Linked DNA regions of Saccharomyces cerevisiae S288C. The gene in region 1 interacts genetically with each later gene. Each region holds a gene or a part of one and is shown in the gene's direction. Other genes may lie near its edges. The genes, in order: VPS72, RPD3, SDS3 and GIM5.

Region 1 (5,479 bases):
CTTTCGATGCTAAGACGTCCCTCTACACGGCCACTGTTATCTCCTAACGCCGCTTCGAGGCGGGTGAGCATAGGTTATTGCCTGATGAGTAATTTCTTAGCGAGAATTGATAAAAAAAAGCAAGGCTATTATTAATATACGTGCTATTGTGAAATTTTCATTGGCGTATATATGTGAGGTGAATGTAAATATCTCCAACAAAAAGCAGAAGGCTAAAAAAAAGGAAAGGAAAAGAAGAAAAGGCAACGTCGAAAATGTTTACACCAATTGATCAAGCTATAGAACACTTCAAGCAGAATAAGTTTGTAATTGTTATGGACGATGCCGGTCGTGAAAATGAAGGTGATCTTATTTGCGCTGCTGAAAATGTCAGCACTGAACAAATGGCCTTTCTTGTACGCCATTCCTCAGGCTACGTCTGTGCACCTATGACGAATGCCATTGCTGATAAGTTGGACCTTCCACTACTGAGAACAGGCATGAAGTTTGAATCCAATGATGACGACAGGCATGGAACTGCATACACAATAACTGTAGATGTAGCCCAAGGCACTACCACAGGTATTTCTGCTCACGACAGGTCGATGACTTGTAGGGCTCTTGCAGACTCTTCCTCTACGCCAAAATCATTTTTAAAACCAGGGCACATCTGTCCCTTGAGAGCCGCTGATGGCGGTGTTTTGCAGAGAAGAGGCCACACTGAGGCCGGTGTCGATTTGTGTAAACTAAGTGGACTAAGTCCCGTCGCTGTTATTGGCGAATTGGTTAACGATGACGAACAAGGAACTATGATGAGATTAAATGACTGCCAAGCGTTTGGTAAGAAACATGGCATTCCTTTGATCTCCATCGAAGAATTGGCCCAATATTTGAAGAAATAATCTGGTGAACATTTTCTCCATTCATTCTATCACAACAGACTCACACATATATACATGTATATATTTGTAACTTTGTATATATCTTTTGTTTTTTGACCTTTTTCTTCCTCTATGTTTTTCAGCCATACAAAAATATGGGATTTTTAGCAAGAGAAAAAGTACATCTAAAAAAAGTAGTAATAGGAGGAAGCCAAGATTGGTTGAAACACAGTTATAAACTCTTCAAGGCAATTATGAACAGGATTTTCGGATATGGGAACAAAAAGAGCCATGATCAGCTCTTACAAGAGTCGAATCAGTCCATGAATCAGGCCCAACAATCACTATCGAACAGAATATCCCAGTTAGATACTCAAATCGCCCAGTTAAACTTCCAGCTGCAAAATATTCAAAAGAATTTGCAAAGATCAAACAACAAGCAACCCTCGTTAAGAAAACAGGCTTTGAAGATTTTAAATAAACGTAAACAGTTAGAAAATATGAAGGATTCTTTAGATTCTCAATCCTGGTCCATGACGCAAGCCCAGTTAACAAATGATAACTTACAGAACACAATGATCACTATAAACGCACTAAAGCAAACAAACAATGCCATGAAGGCTCAATACGGCAAGATAAATATCGACAAACTACAGGACATGCAGGATGAGATGCTGGATTTAATAGAACAAGGGGATGAGCTGCAAGAAGTCTTGGCAATGAATAATAACAGTGGCGAGCTCGACGACATTAGTGATGCAGAGCTGGATGCAGAGCTGGATGCTCTGGCACAAGAGGATTTCACTTTGCCAACCAGCGAAAACTCATTAGGTAACGATATGCCCAGTTACTTACTAGGTGCGAATGCGCCACCGGCTTTTATTGATGAAGAGCCAAACTTAGATACTGAAGACAAAAATAAAGCTTTAGAAAGCGCTCAGTGAAAACAAAAAGCACACAAAGTTGCATATTCAGAATTTTTCTCTCCTTTCCCTTTTCTTTATATTCTCTTTGCTGGTAAGCCAAAATATGTACCTTATTTAGGTTTTAGTAGTTTTCTTTTTTCTTTGTTAAAAAAATCCTGATGGAAAAAACAGTAAGCAGAAAGCACCATGTAGTCTAATGAATACAAATAGAAGTGAAACCGAAGCAAATTCACAGTGCACGATGAGTGATGAAGGTGCTGATAAAAGTCTAGATACTAACACAGAATTTATTATACAAACACGATCTAGGAGGTCTAATGCCGGTAATAAATTACAAAAACTATTGGAGCAGGAGCTAAGAGATATAGAATCTACCAAAAGACAAATTTCTTCCTATAAGAATGGTAATGATGATGAAGAAGATGAAATAGGGCTGTTGTTTCAGGAAGATGAAGATGATGAAGATTTCGAAATGATGGCAAAAGATGACGATGATGAAGGGGAAGAAAAAGAAGATGAGACTCAAAGTATAAGGAAAGAGCCCTCTCAGGCTTCAAGTGAGCAAGCAGCCGATGACTTAATGTTCAGCAGTAGCGAATCTGAGGACTCCAGCAACGAGAATGATGAAGATGCAGAGGAAAAGGAAATACGAAGACAAGAACTACTTTCAAGAAAGAAAAGAAACAAGAGATTACAGAAGGGTCCCGTTGTAATCAAAAAACAAAAACCTAAGCCTAAGTCAGGAGAAGCTATACCAAGATCGCACCATACCCATGAACAATTAAACGCAGAGACGTTACTATTAAATACAAGGAGAACTTCTAAAAGATCATCGGTAATGGAAAACACGATGAAAGTTTATGAGAAATTGTCTAAAGCTGAAAAAAAGAGAAAAATTATACAAGAAAGAATAAGGAAACACAAGGAGCAGGAGTCTCAGCATATGCTGACACAAGAAGAGAGGCTACGGATTGCCAAGGAGACTGAGAAGCTGAATATTTTGTCACTGGATAAGTTCAAGGAACAAGAAGTTTGGAAAAAGGAGAATCGTCTAGCTTTGCAGAAAAGACAAAAGCAGAAATTCCAGCCAAATGAGACTATACTGCAATTTTTATCTACTGCTTGGCTAATGACGCCAGCGATGGAGTTAGAAGATCGTAAATATTGGCAGGAACAATTGAATAAACGTGATAAGAAGAAGAAAAAATATCCGAGGAAGCCAAAGAAGAATTTAAATCTCGGAAAACAGGACGCATCAGATGATAAAAAGCGGGAGAGTGAAGAATCGATAAAGAACGATGGCGACGTGAATTCTTTGGGTGAGAATTCTTCATCTGTACACAACCAGAAAAGGATTGAGGAAACTTCTACTAACGATACAGTTGAAGGAGAATCGAGTCCAGATGCAGCGGTGAGTAGAGTAAATTCAGACGAATTAAAGCCAACAGCATTACCTGATGTTACATTGGACGCAATTGCAAACAAGCAGAGTACCGTTGATGAAGCTCCCAACAGCCAACCACAAAAGAATATAATAACTAATGAGCAAAAAATTACCAATGTAGGCGAACCGATACAAAATTTACATAATGAAGAAATTAAAGATGAAATGGTAAGTGCTCTCGAGAGCAGGGAAAATACTTTTGAAAACTCATCACCTGCTGCCCAAGTGGTCTCACAAAGGGATAATTCTGCAACACCTACACCATCAAACTCCACTGGCACTGAAGATACTATATTGATCTCTCCGGATACGGATATAAAAGGAGAGCCTGAACCTTGTCTGAAAACCGAAGGCATCGAGAACTTATCTCATAATGTACCACAAGAGACCAAAAGCAATACTGATGTTTCTTTCTTGAAACAAGTAACGTTTACCGACCATCCGCAAGTGGCCATAATCGATACTGAAGAGTCACCCTCAAAAAAAGATACAGCTAATGTTGATGAATCTTCCGCGGAAAACTCTTTATCAACACAGACCTACGAAGGGCCTGAGCAATTAACCTCAAGGAACTTTGTTACACTTTATGATTTTCCTAATGCTCCTCCAAATCTAAAAGATTTTAACACAAACTTATTTGGTGATCGATGGTCATACACAAATGGGTTATCCGCCACTCAGCGTCCACAAGATATGAAAACTGTTTTCCACTCCATTTTACCATCACCTCCTCAGTCTTCAGTACCGTCTCCTACCGTAGATATATCACTTGATCTGTCAGCTCTGGCAAATTTCCCATCTTTTGGGGAATACGATAAGAAAATAGTCCATCAAATCAACACAGAGATAAATAAGGATTTGGAAATCAAAATTAAAACACAGCCTCCAACGGGTGTCTTCTTAGCCAATGGTATAAGAAAAAAATGTTTAATCACAAATAAAGAATGTCAGTACTTTGATCCAAGGACTGGTGTGCCTTATTCTGATGTGGAAGCTTATAAAATTATTCAGCGGATTCAAGATCCTATTTCTAAGGAGGAGGGAAGGTCAGATATCAAGCGTGATGAAACGACAAATGAGGATAGTGACGATCAAGTGAGATTCAAGTGGTTTGGGTTCAAAAACGGCGGTATTTACCTTGATTTAAGTCAAAGACCTGCAAAAGGTGTTCCTGAAGGATTTTAATTGAGACAGACTATATAATGGTAGGTCGTTAAACATTTGACTATATTCCACACAAAATAAGAAATCATAAAGATCATTTTACATAAAAATATACTTTATACGCTCCATGTCTTATACAATCGTTACATTCATCAATTTCTGGTGAAAGCTTCAACTAAAGTTTTGAAATGATTTTCGGTCTCTCTGATTATTAGTGGTACGCTTGAATCATTATCGTCGTCATTCGCAACTTTCGTACCAACATTTTCAGCAGAATCAAAATTGTAGTTTTGTGCATCCGAGTCATTTATATTTAAATGTAGATGCAATTGCTGTAGGTTATTGTATAAATACATGTAATTTGTAGCCAGAAATCTTTCTGGTGATTTCGTCTTTTTACTGCACTTTGTCATGACTGTTTCGAAATCATTTCTTAATCTAATGATGGAATTGTATAAGGGTTCAGATCTTTCGTCTATGGACTGCTTATGTGTTATTGCCAACGTCAAGAAGCTTGATAAAAATTTACCGAACTGTACAGTTAACTCATGAGGTGAGGTCAAAGGGCTACTATTGGATGTGCTTGAGTTGCCGGCATATTTTGCCACATTTGTAGTTATTGCCGCTTTTCGTAAGCTCTCGCATTGAAAATCGACCAATTGCTGAAATCGAGGCCATAATTGAATTAATTGACCATTCAAGAAACTATCAAACATAGACGGTATTCCTCTCCTTTCTGATTCAAATTGTAATTGATTGGCCACACGAATACTTATTAATACACCAAAAATGTCATAATTATATTGGATCAGTTGTTGAGTGTATGTTGTGGCTTCATCAAAAGTTGGTTGAAATATTTGTTCCAATAAACCATTAATTTCCTCAAAATTATCGCCATTCATAGCGAAGAAATCTTTTAAAAAATGGTACTCCACCGTACAGTTATCTAAAATTGCAAGGTTTAAATTTTTAAATCCAATTTCAATGTAGTTTTTCGTTGTGTTATTTTCTGCAATTTGGGATACCATTACCGTATTGTCTTCTTGTGTTAAAATGTTCAATCTTTTCTTTATCTGAAAGTATTT
Region 2 (4,348 bases), on another chromosome or scaffold:
TTATTGATCCCAATCGGACGAAGCTAATAACAACTAATATCACTAACAGAAGACCATTACCCTTGAGTAGATCCAATCTTCAGAGATATTACGGTTTTGCTGAAACTTTTTACTATGATTTGCATATCTTCCCCTATGTAAGACAATTGGTTAACATATTAGAAACTTCCTTCAATTGTTCTCAAAGGGGAATCACCCTAAATGCCTCTGTGTTACTTCATTCCACTACAAACAATGTGGGCAAGGCTACAATGGTGAGATTTGCTTCAAAATATCTTGGTATACATCTACTGGAGATAGATTGCCTTTCGCTCACTTCAAATTCAAGACAACTGGATTCAACATCTAAGATTATTGGTTACATTAGGGCTAAATGTGAAAATGTCCTACCGTACGCATCACCTGCTGTGATTTTTTTGGCTCATTTGGATTCAATTTTGCTTGACGTAAACGCTAATCAAGATCCAGAGGCAATCAAATTACAAAAATCTATAAACTTCGAAATGTCTAAACTTCTGGACGATTTTACGTTTAAATTCCCAGGAACTACATTTGTTGGCTCCGTAAATAACATAGATAACGTGCCTTCCAGCTTTAGATCACATATGAGATTTGAGATTCTCGTACCCGTTCCGTCTGAAGCACAGAGACTGCGTATCTTTCAGTGGTACTTATCTTCACATGAACTAAACAGAGATGTTCAACAAAAGGTTCCAGTATCTTACATGGATAATATTTCATTTTCATCACTCTCTTCATATTCTGCTGGTTTAACTCCTTTAGACATCAAATCAATTGTGGAAACGGCACGAATGACGGCTACTGCGCGTTTTTACCAAGAATCAAAGAAGTGTGGATGGCTTCCGCAATCAATTTTGATCACTCAGGAGGATTTATCAAAAGCTACTTCGAAAGCTAGGAACGAATTCTCGGTTTCGATTGGTGCCCCACAAATCCCTAACGTAACTTGGGATGATATAGGTGGTATTGATTTTGTTAAAGGTGAAATATTGGACACAATAGACATGCCGCTAAAACATCCTGAATTATTTACCTCAGGTATGAAAAAGAGAAGCGGTATTCTTTTTTATGGTCCACCGGGTACAGGTAAAACTCTAATGGCTAAGGCCATTGCAACAAATTTTTCTTTAAATTTTTTTAGTGTTAAAGGCCCTGAACTGTTGAATATGTACATTGGTGAGAGTGAAGCTAATGTGCGCAGAGTGTTTCAAAAGGCGAGAGAGGCTAAACCTTGTGTCATATTTTTCGATGAAATCGATTCAGTAGCACCCAAACGTGGTAATCAAGGTGATTCGGGTGGTGTTATGGATCGTATCGTTTCACAGTTACTAGCAGAGTTAGATGGTATGAGTACCGACGCTGACGGTGTATTTGTTATCGGAGCAACAAACAGACCAGACTTATTGGACGAAGCACTACTAAGACCAGGACGATTCGATAAATTGTTATATTTAGGCATTCCGGATACGGATACCAAACAATTGAATATTTTAGAGGCTCTGACTCGCAAATTCGTGCTCGACAACGACGTAAAGCTTATTGAGTTGGCAAAGCTATGTCCATTTAATTACACCGGGGCAGATTTTTATGCTCTCTGCTCAGATGCAATGCTTAACGCCATGTCAAGAATTGCACGCATGGTAGAAAAAAAAGTTTCTCAGCATAACGAATTGACGGGAGAGAATATTTCTACACGTCGCTGGTTTGATAAGATTGCGACAAAAGAGGATACTAAGGTTGTCGTAAAAATGGAAGACTTCTTGAAAGCACAAGAGCAGCTCACCCCAAGTGTGTCGCGGGCTGAACTGAATCATTATGAAGCGGTGAGAGCTAATTTTGAAGGTGCTTAAGTAATATCAACTCAGAGCGTATAGGTAAATTTGTAAATATATGTCCCATATTTTGCCTTGAAATTTATCTTTTTATTTACTTACCCTCCCCGGCTCATAGTATCTATCGAAAGGGAAAAACAGAAAAGATACTAGTAGTTGATTATACATAATAAAAATTTGAAGTAATAACCATAAAGGTTCATAAAACAATTGCGCCATACAAAACATTCGTGGCTACAACTCGATATCCGTGCAGATGGTATATGAAGCAACACCTTTTGATCCGATCACGGTCAAGCCAAGCGATAAAAGACGCGTTGCATATTTTTACGATGCAGACGTTGGGAACTATGCATATGGAGCAGGTCACCCGATGAAGCCGCATAGAATAAGAATGGCACATTCCCTTATTATGAATTATGGCTTGTACAAGAAGATGGAAATTTACAGAGCTAAGCCGGCAACGAAACAAGAAATGTGTCAGTTCCATACTGATGAATACATTGATTTTTTATCGAGGGTTACTCCAGATAATTTAGAAATGTTTAAAAGAGAAAGTGTCAAGTTTAATGTCGGAGATGATTGTCCTGTCTTTGATGGGCTCTATGAGTACTGTAGCATATCTGGTGGTGGCTCTATGGAAGGAGCTGCTCGTCTGAATAGAGGCAAATGTGATGTTGCTGTCAACTATGCGGGTGGTTTGCATCATGCAAAAAAATCGGAAGCTTCTGGGTTTTGTTATTTAAATGACATAGTACTGGGCATTATTGAGCTACTACGATACCACCCCAGAGTTCTGTATATTGATATTGATGTGCACCATGGTGATGGTGTAGAGGAAGCGTTTTATACAACGGATCGTGTCATGACATGTTCTTTCCACAAATATGGTGAGTTTTTCCCTGGCACAGGTGAACTGAGAGATATAGGGGTGGGTGCAGGAAAAAACTACGCGGTCAATGTGCCATTAAGAGACGGTATTGACGATGCTACGTATAGATCTGTGTTTGAACCTGTGATAAAAAAAATTATGGAATGGTATCAACCTTCTGCTGTCGTGTTACAGTGTGGTGGGGACTCCTTGTCCGGCGATCGTCTTGGTTGCTTTAATCTTTCCATGGAAGGCCATGCTAATTGTGTAAACTATGTGAAATCCTTTGGGATCCCAATGATGGTTGTTGGTGGAGGAGGCTATACTATGAGAAATGTTGCAAGGACATGGTGCTTTGAAACAGGTCTACTAAATAACGTTGTCTTGGATAAAGATTTACCGTACAATGAATATTACGAATATTACGGTCCAGATTATAAGTTAAGTGTTAGACCTTCGAATATGTTCAATGTAAATACTCCCGAATATCTTGACAAGGTAATGACCAATATATTTGCTAATTTGGAAAACACAAAGTATGCCCCTAGTGTTCAGTTGAATCACACACCTAGGGATGCCGAAGATTTGGGTGATGTTGAAGAAGATTCTGCCGAGGCTAAAGATACGAAGGGTGGTTCGCAATATGCGAGGGACCTACATGTTGAGCATGACAATGAATTCTATTGAAAAAAAGAGTTGGAAGTATATACGAATATAAATAATGTGAAACAAAAGAAGAAAAGTGAATAAAAGGCACTTAAGACGCTATCCAATTGTGTATGAGAAGTGCAAACTCAATTTTTTTGCAAAAGACTTTTCTCAAACCTTTAATTGATGCGTTCCGTTCATACATCAACCGCGTCCCATACGTTTCGAAGAAAATTGCCTATATGTGTTATTTACATACTAGAGATATTTTAATATTGAAACAGTTGTATTTCTATTGTAATTACTATCTAAACGTCTCGTCCCACCGCTGTTGATAAAGCGGTGCCAATATAATTTATAATCACGCCTGGGTAAATGACTTTTAATTTCTTAAATCATCGAAGTATGCGAAAACAAGAAGTCTTTATTCATAATAAAAAACAAATTCGGTTACTACGACTTTTATATGTCATTCAATATTTGGTAATAATTTTACAGTATTAACCCTATCCTCATCTGATTCACTCTCTTCTAATTGCATATATTTTCAAATTCGCTTTCAGCGCTGTACAAAACCAGTAAGCAGATCTCGTACGAAGACTCAAATAAGTTGCATTGTTCGTATTCAAGGAAACCGGGGGGCAAAATTTCCAACCATATTTAAGTATGACAATATTTCCAAGTCAAGGATGCATGCTGTTCTTCTCTTCATTAACTAGCTAACCAATTAGCTGAACGGCTTTGTATTTTACTTAACATATTGTCTATTGCATAAAAAACCACTATTCAGCATGACTGACTTGTTTAAACCTCTACCTGAACCACCTACCGAATTGGGACGTCTCAGGGTTCTTTCTAAAACTGCCGGCATAAGGGTTTCACCGCTAATTCTGGGAGGAGCTTCAATCGGCGACGCATGGTCAGGCTTTATGGGCTCTATGAATAAGGAACAGGCCTTTGAACTTCTTGATGCTTT
Region 3 (4,033 bases), on another chromosome or scaffold:
CGCGGAATCTCGGATCTAAACTAATTGTTCAGGCATTTATACTTTGGGTAGTTCAGCTAGGGAAGGTCGGGTTTTGTCTCATGTTGTTCGTTTTGTTATAAGGTTGTTTCATATGTGTTTTATGAACGTTCAGGGTGACGTATTGTCATACTGACATATCTCATTTTGAGATACAACATGTTCCATGATATGGAAAAACGTATACCAGTGCTACAAACCCTGTTAACAATTAAATTCTTATTACTTCTTGCACAAAGATGCTAACACTTTACAGCTTTGAAAGTAACAGGAAGAAGTGATGCTGTGACAATTAACAGGGTATTTTTTTTTTCACTTCTACTTAAATCGGAGTTACAATTTATGATAAAAAAATCAAGAAAAAAACCTGATTATGCTAAGAAAGTAGAGGCGACGATGACCACCTATGGCCTAACCTAACTATGAACAGATGGTAGGCTCTAAATTGCGTGCCTGAAATCTGCGGATTTGATATGTAGGCGATGTTTTGGGTATTTTCCACCAACTTTATTGGCAAGGGAAGAATTCGATGACCCGAATTCGCCAAACGACAAAAACTGGAGGAGTGACCTATTGTTAACGTTTTTTTTTTTTTTTTAAAGGCATTGTCATCAACAGGACATCTGTATAAGAGGCTAAGACAATTACGCACACAACGCTTTTATTAGTTGTCATAAACTGTGTAGATTAGCAGCAGACACTCCTTTTTTTCTTCATACTATAGCAATGCCACCTCTACCCGTGCTCAACAGACCTCAAATTCATACGTCTGTTACTGAAATAAGTCATGCAATTGATCGTACAATCAAGGAAGAGCTCTTTCCCGTTGCCTACACTACTGAAGAAGAGCAATATTTCAAAACTAACCCTAAACCTGCCTATATCGATGAATTGATTAAGGACGCTAAAGAGTTTATTGATTTGCAGTATTCCCTGAAAAGGAACAAAATAGTTCTTATCACCTCTGGTGGTACTACTGTTCCATTGGAAAACAATACAGTACGTTTTATCGATAATTTTTCTGCAGGTACTCGTGGTGCATCGAGTGCTGAACAGTTCTTAGCGAACGGATATAGTGTTATTTTCTTACATAGGGAATTCTCATTAACTCCGTATAATAGGTCCTTCTCCCATAGCATTAATACTTTATTCTTGGACTACATTGATTCTGAAGGTAAAATCAAACCTGAATTTGCTGAGAATGTTTTGAAGAACAAAAAGCTTTATGACAAGTATATGGAGAAAGAGGAGAAACTACTTTTACTACCATTCACCACGGTCAACCAATACTTATGGTCACTGAAAAGTATAGCCAAGCTATTGAATAATAGTGGTTGCTTGTTTTATTTAGCTGCTGCTGTCAGTGATTTTTTTGTTCCATATTCAAGACTACCTCAGCACAAGATTCAATCAGGAGACAACGGTAAGATGGGAGCAAATAATGACACTGAAGGTACAACTAGGACTACGCCTGATGGTAAACTGATTGTGAATCTTGACCCTGTCCCTAAGTTTTTGAGAAGATTAGTGGAATCATGGGCCACTCAAGCGATGATCGTTTCGTTCAAATTAGAAACTGATGAATCCATGCTGCTTTACAAATGTACACAAGCCCTGGATAGATACAACCATCAACTGGTTATCGGAAACCTTTTACAGACAAGAAACAAACAGGTCATTTTCGTATCCCCTGAAAACAGAAAGGGAGATTGGGTACGTTTGGATGAAAAACACCATAGCATTGAAGAGATGATAATCCCAGAAGTCATCGCACGCCATGACAAATGGGTGGCGCATTCGAAAACTAAGCTAGCTACGAAATAAAACATAGCTCTTGTCTGTAATCAAAAAAATTTGCGTCAAAAAAAAAAATTAGATGTATGTAAACCTTTTTATTGAACTGAAAATTTATCTTTTATCAAATCTTTTTCTTCTATGCCTTAATTATGTTTTCAGGTATCTTTTTTCTCATTATTTAATTTAGCTTATGTATTGATCATTTCGCTTGAGATTTCAGGAAGAAAAAACGCAAACAATTTTTCAGCTAAAATGAACCCTTGGAAAAGCTTTAAGAGAACAAGAGAAACTGTAGAGCTCAGTGTGCATTGTCTTCAAGATTGATGGCTATTCAAAAGGTTAGTAACAAGGACTTGTCCCGCAAGGACAAAAGAAGATTTAATATCGAATCTAAAGTTAATAAGATTTATCAAAATTTTTACTCAGAAAGAGATAATCAATATAAAGATAGACTGACAGCATTGCAAACGGATTTAACTTCTCTGCATCAAGGTGATAATGGCCAATATGCCCGCCAAGTACGAGATTTGGAGGAAGAAAGAGATCTAGAGTTAGTCAGGTTGCGCCTGTTTGAAGAGTACCGTGTTTCTCGTTCCGGTATCGAATTTCAAGAAGATATTGAAAAGGCTAAGGCTGAACACGAGAAACTCATTAAATTATGCAAAGAAAGACTGTATTCGTCTATAGAGCAAAAAATAAAGAAATTACAGGAGGAGAGGTTACTAATGGATGTGGCCAATGTGCACTCCTATGCCATGAATTATAGCAGACCGCAATACCAGAAGAACACGAGAAGTCACACAGTAAGTGGTTGGGATTCTTCGTCCAACGAATATGGAAGAGATACAGCAAACGAAAGTGCTACTGACACGGGAGCTGGAAACGATAGAAGAACGCTAAGGAGAAGGAATGCTTCTAAAGACACGAGAGGTAACAACAACAATCAAGATGAATCTGATTTTCAAACTGGTAATGGTTCTGGAAGTAATGGCCATGGTTCTAGACAAGGGTCGCAATTCCCCCATTTCAACAACCTAACCTACAAGTCAGGCATGAACTCTGACTCAGATTTTCTACAAGGTATAAATGAAGGTACTGATCTATATGCATTTTTGTTTGGCGAAAAGAACCCCAAAGACAATGCTAATGGGAATGAAAAGAAAAAAAACCGTGGTGCTCAACGATATTCCACCAAAACAGCTCCACCTTTACAGTCTTTGAAACCAGATGAGGTCACAGAGGATATTTCCTTGATCAGAGAATTAACAGGTCAGCCTCCGGCTCCTTTCAGACTAAGGTCTGACTAATTTATTTTATGCTGCAAACCTTCCACTTTAACTTTGTATTATATTACATTAGATGGTTATATTTCAATGTGAGCTCTTTTTGTTTTTGCTTTCTTTTCTCGGATACAAGTGGAAAACGAAAAAAAAAAATTGGCTAAAATTTACTGTATACATCAGGCTAACAATCTGTGATTATAGGCACAGTTGTACCAAAGAAGGGCTAGAATATACATCATAATTAGATGCAATTAGCATGGCTATAAGATTGAATCCAAAAGTCAGAAGGTTCTTGCTGGATAAGTGTCGACAAAAACGATATGGTTTCCTCTTTTTAGGATGTATCTTCGCCATACTTTACTGTATGGGGACCTGGCCATTTTTCGCAAAAGATATTGTACATGATCCAAATAATTTGCCTTATTCCTTACAGGATTATTCGACTGACAAAGACGAGCCATTTTTCCGGGGCTGCACTGATACAAAGCTGTACTTGCAAAATCCTGCTTACTCCAAAATGAACGCATCTTTCGTTATGCTAACGAGAAACGAAGAAATAGAAGACGTACTGAAAACTATGAGAAGTATAGAGGGCCATTTCAATAAGTGGTTCAAATATCCGTACGTTTTCTTGAATGATGACCCCTTTACAGATCATTTTAAGGACCAAATTCAAGCTGCAACTAATGCCACTGTAGAGTTTGGCACTGTTGATGAAATTATGTGGGAGTTTCCTGCTAAGGTTCGTAATTCATTGCAGTTTAAGGCTTCATTAGAAGACCAAAACGATCGCGGTATAATGTATGGTAATATGGAATCATATCACAAGATGTGTCGATTTTACTCCGGGATCTTTTATAAACATCCATTAGTTTCCAAGTATGAATGGTATTGGAGAATAGAACCTGATGTGGACTTTTTTTGTGACATCTCGT
Region 4 (3,858 bases), on another chromosome or scaffold:
AGATCCAATTGGCAGGCGAAGTTTGTCTTATTCGGTCACTCCAGACAACGAATTGTACGTCGCTAGTGTAACGGGGTCTGCTGGGTCCTTTCAAGATTGTATAGGTGGAGTTATTTATGAATATGATACACGAACTAAGTTGTTAAATTCCAATCAGAGGTCACATCTTCCATACGAAGTGACATCAGAGATAGATCTGAATTTCACATCATTGTCAGAGGTGTCTAAAAATTTATATGCTGTGCTACGTGATTCTGTAAAAAAAAGGGTAGAGTCCATACATCCCAGGCATATTGAAAACTCTCCTATTGCGGTACTATTCTCAGGAGGAATTGATTGTTCAGTAATAGTAGCGTTGATCTGCGAGGTGTTGCAAGAAAATGATTATAAATGTGGAAAACCAGTTATAGAGCTTCTAAATGTATCCTTCGAAAACCCCAGGACTGGTCTTTTTCCCAGTGATACACCTGATAGAAAACTGTCCATTAACAGTGCAAAGACTTTACAAAACTTATATCCTAATGTTGATATCAAACTGGTTGAAGTTGACGTTCCTTATGATGAGTATTTAAAATGGAAGCCATTTGTTATCAATTTAATGTATCCTAAACAGACTGAAATGGACTTGTCTATAGCCATTGCTTTTTTTTTTGCGTCGAGAGGTAGAGGTTTCTTAACTTCTCTGAATGGGGAAAGAACGCCATATCAGCGCCATGGGATAGTGTTATTCAGCGGACTGGGAGCAGACGAACTCTACGGTGGATATCACAAGTTTGCCAACAAACCACCCCATGAACTTGTGGAGGAACTTACAAGGCAAATAAACAACATTTATGATCGCAACCTGAATCGTGATGATAAAGTGATAGCTCATAATGGCGTGGAGGTGAGATACCCATTTTTAGATGAATATGTTATAAAGTTATCTACAGCAGAAATTCCCATTAATTTCAAGGTTAACAAATTAATCCTTCGAAAAGTTGCCTCGCAGTATTTGAAGTTGGATGGAATATCATCAGAACCAAAAAGGGCCATTCAATTCGGTGCTAAAAGCGCTAAAATGACAAAGGATGGTAATAAGCATGGAACAGATTTATTAAAAGAAAATAGGAATTGTTCATAAATTCAAATATTCAATATATTTTGCAGCTTGTTCAAAATTAAATGCTAAAAGTAGAGTAAATCCGTTGAACATACATAGTTTTGTAATGTCATTAAGGGTATCTTCAGAGTTGTTATCGTCTACTATGAATATCAGTATATTATTTTCGTTTCTAGATAAGGGCTGCATTCTCCTAGAGATATAATCGACATATAATTTGTGATAAGTCAAAGTTAAGAACAGTACACTTCTTCCACGAACTAGATAGTCGTAGTATATCATATTAATTCCTGTTGAAGATACATATCTCCAATTGGTGCTCTTTAAGTGGTTCAGGAGTGGATTTTCTTTTTGGGTAGTGTTCACTAGTACAGTTTTTCCCGGTCGAGTACTCCTGAAGGGTCTCTTTCGATTATAGTCATCTGTAGCCTTTGAGTCGGTCCATTCTTCCGGTTTTTGCTGATTGAAGGCGTTTATGACCTGGTTTGAATTTATGCGTCTTGATGTTTGCGGTTCCTGCTGCTGGAGTTTTGATGCATCTATTTCTAACGATTGAGATCCAGTAGTATCTGCACCACTCTTTTCCTTTCTCAATTTGGCCACACCAGCCAATATACTTTCAAATGAAGTAGGATCAGTATTGTTCATCTTCTAGGATAACCAACTTTGTTTATGCCCTTTTTTGTGTTGCGTGGCTGTCTCATAAGTTACAATTTTCTTTTTTGTTCTAACGATTTTAAATAGAAAAGTGTCTTAGATGAAAATCTTGCTGTGACCCAAACAAGAAAGAGCACTGTAAAAATCAAGCCATGTCCTCTCAAAAAAGTATGTAAATGAATAGCTCCTTCGTTGTTGCCACCGTACAGACACTTTACTAACTTTTAAGTTACTACATGTTCGAAACTTAGTCGATTTAACTAAACTAAATCCCGAGCAGCTGAATGCTGTAAAACAGCAATTCGACCAAGAATTGCAGCATTTCACACAGTCCTTGCAAGCATTAACCATGGCTAAGGGCAAGTTCACAGAATGTATTGATGATATTAAAACAGTCTCCCAAGCAGGAAATGAAGGGCAAAAACTACTGGTTCCAGCATCTGCATCATTATACATCCCAGGTAAGATTGTAGACAATAAGAAATTCATGGTCGACATTGGTACAGGATATTACGTTGAAAAGAGCGCTGAAGCAGCAATCGCATTTTACCAAAAGAAAGTAGACAAGCTTAACAAAGAATCTGTACAGATCCAAGATATTATTAAGGAAAAGACCCAGTATTCCTTGTCCATCGAGGCCCAAATAAGACAAGCCGCTATTAGACAGCATGAAGCGATGAGTAAACAACAACAGCAGCAACAAAAAAAGGAGTCGTCTACAGCCTAGGTAACTCTTTTGCTTTTCCTACGATTTTTCATATCTCATTTGTAGCCATCTGATATACGTTTATCTATATGCAACGTAATTTTTTATTTATCGTCACTTTGTAGTTTTCCGGAAAAGGCCATTGAAAATTTTTCAAATTCCTATGGCGATGAGCTGAAAAAATTCATTAAGTGTGCATTCAATAACATCTTGTTATATACTAATAAAAGAGGCTTCAAGACAAAATAAGCTAACTTAAATATGGCAAAAAAGAAATCTAAGAGCAGATCCAAGAGTTCTAGAAGAGTTTTGGATGCTTTGCAACTTGCTGAGAGAGAAATTAATGGTGAATTCGATAACTCCAGCGACAATGACAAAAGACATGATGCTCGTCGTAATGGTACAGTTGTCAACTTGTTAAAAAGGTCAAAAGGTGACACTAACAGTGATGAAGATGATATCGATTCTGAGTCGTTTGAAGATGAGGAGTTGAACTCTGATGAAGCGTTGGGCTCTGATGATGACTATGACATTTTGAATTCCAAATTCTCACAAACTATTCGTGACAAGAAGGAGAATGCAAACTACCAAGAAGAAGAGGATGAAGGTGGGTATACTTCCATTGATGAAGAAGATTTGATGCCACTGTCTCAAGTGTGGGACATGGATGAGAAAACCGCACAGAGTAACGGCAATGATGACGAAGACGCTTCTCCACAATTAAAATTGCAAGATACAGATATAAGTTCCGAATCAAGCAGTTCCGAAGAAAGCGAATCGGAATCTGAAGATGATGAAGAGGAAGAGGATCCCTTCGACGAAATATCTGAAGATGAAGAAGACATCGAATTGAATACAATTACCTCAAAACTGATTGATGAAACCAAAAGTAAAGCTCCAAAGAGACTAGATACGTATGGCTCAGGTGAGGCCAATGAGTATGTTTTGCCCTCTGCAAATGCAGCTAGTGGAGCTTCTGGGAAATTGAGTTTGACGGATATGATGAACGTTATTGATGACAGGCAAGTTATTGAAAACGCTAACTTGCTTAAGGGTAAGTCGTCGACGTATGAAGTTCCGCTACCACAACGTATCCAACAAAGACACGATCGTAAGGCAGCATACGAGATCTCTAGGCAAGAAGTGAGTAAGTGGAATGATATCGTCCAACAGAACAGAAGGGCTGATCATTTAATCTTCCCGCTGAACAAACCCACCGAACATAACCACGCCTCGGCTTTCACTAGAACTCAAGATGTTCCTCAAACAGAATTACAGGAGAAGGTAGATCAAGTTCTTCAAGAGAGTAATTTAGCGAACCCAGAAAAAGACTCAAAGTTTGAAGAGTTGAGCACTGCTAAAATGACACCCGAGGAGATGAGAAAGAGGACTA

What was found.
Region 2: mutations in VPS72 (region 1) and RPD3 together harm fitness more than expected from each alone (negative genetic interaction), as found in Saccharomyces cerevisiae (5 studies listed by BioGRID, with this or other methods).
Region 3: mutations in VPS72 (region 1) and SDS3 together harm fitness more than expected from each alone (negative genetic interaction), as found in Saccharomyces cerevisiae (5 studies listed by BioGRID, with this or other methods).
Region 4: mutations in VPS72 (region 1) and GIM5 together harm fitness more than expected from each alone (negative genetic interaction), as found in Saccharomyces cerevisiae (8 studies listed by BioGRID, with this or other methods).

The regions. Positions count from the first base shown.
Region 1 is NC_001136.10:1,423,756-1,429,234, reverse strand, and holds VPS72 (Vps72p), read left to right. Parts: upstream 1-2,027; coding exon 2,028-4,415; downstream 4,416-5,479. Other genes in the region: PAC11 (dynein intermediate chain), read left to right, coding at 1-47; 3,4-dihydroxy-2-butanone-4-phosphate synthase RIB3, read left to right, coding at 255-881; VPS60 (Vps60p), read left to right, coding at 1,115-1,804; VPS52 (Vps52p), read right to left, coding at 4,547-5,479. UniProt on the Saccharomyces cerevisiae protein: Participates in the catalytic exchange of histone H2A for the H2A variant HTZ1, an euchromatin-specific factor, leading to chromatin remodeling and changes in transcription of targeted genes. Indirectly involved in vacuolar protein sorting.
Region 2 is NC_001146.8:17,064-21,411, reverse strand, and holds RPD3 (histone deacetylase RPD3), read left to right. Parts: upstream 1-2,109; coding exon 2,110-3,411; downstream 3,412-4,348. Other genes in the region: PEX6 (AAA family ATPase peroxin 6), read left to right, coding at 1-1,871; AAD14 (putative aryl-alcohol dehydrogenase), read left to right, coding at 4,164-4,348. UniProt on the Saccharomyces cerevisiae protein: Catalytic component of the RPD3 histone deacetylase (HDAC) complexes RPD3C(L) and RPD3C(S) responsible for the deacetylation of lysine residues on the N-terminal part of the core histones (H2A, H2B, H3 and H4).
Region 3 is NC_001141.2:201,365-205,397, reverse strand, and holds SDS3 (Sds3p), read left to right. Parts: upstream 1-2,138; coding exon 2,139-3,122; downstream 3,123-4,033. Other genes in the region: phosphopantothenate--cysteine ligase CAB2, read left to right, coding at 745-1,842; KTR7 (putative mannosyltransferase), read left to right, coding at 3,355-4,033. UniProt on the Saccharomyces cerevisiae protein: Component of the RPD3C(L) histone deacetylase complex (HDAC) responsible for the deacetylation of lysine residues on the N-terminal part of the core histones (H2A, H2B, H3 and H4).
Region 4 is NC_001145.3:80,364-84,221, forward strand, and holds GIM5 (Gim5p), read left to right. Parts: upstream 1-1,911; coding exon 1,912-1,927; intron 1,928-2,010; coding exon 2,011-2,486; downstream 2,487-3,858. Other genes in the region: YML096W (putative asparagine synthase), read left to right, coding at 1-1,123; DNA repair protein RAD10, read right to left, coding at 1,118-1,750; UTP14 (Utp14p), read left to right, coding at 2,727-3,858.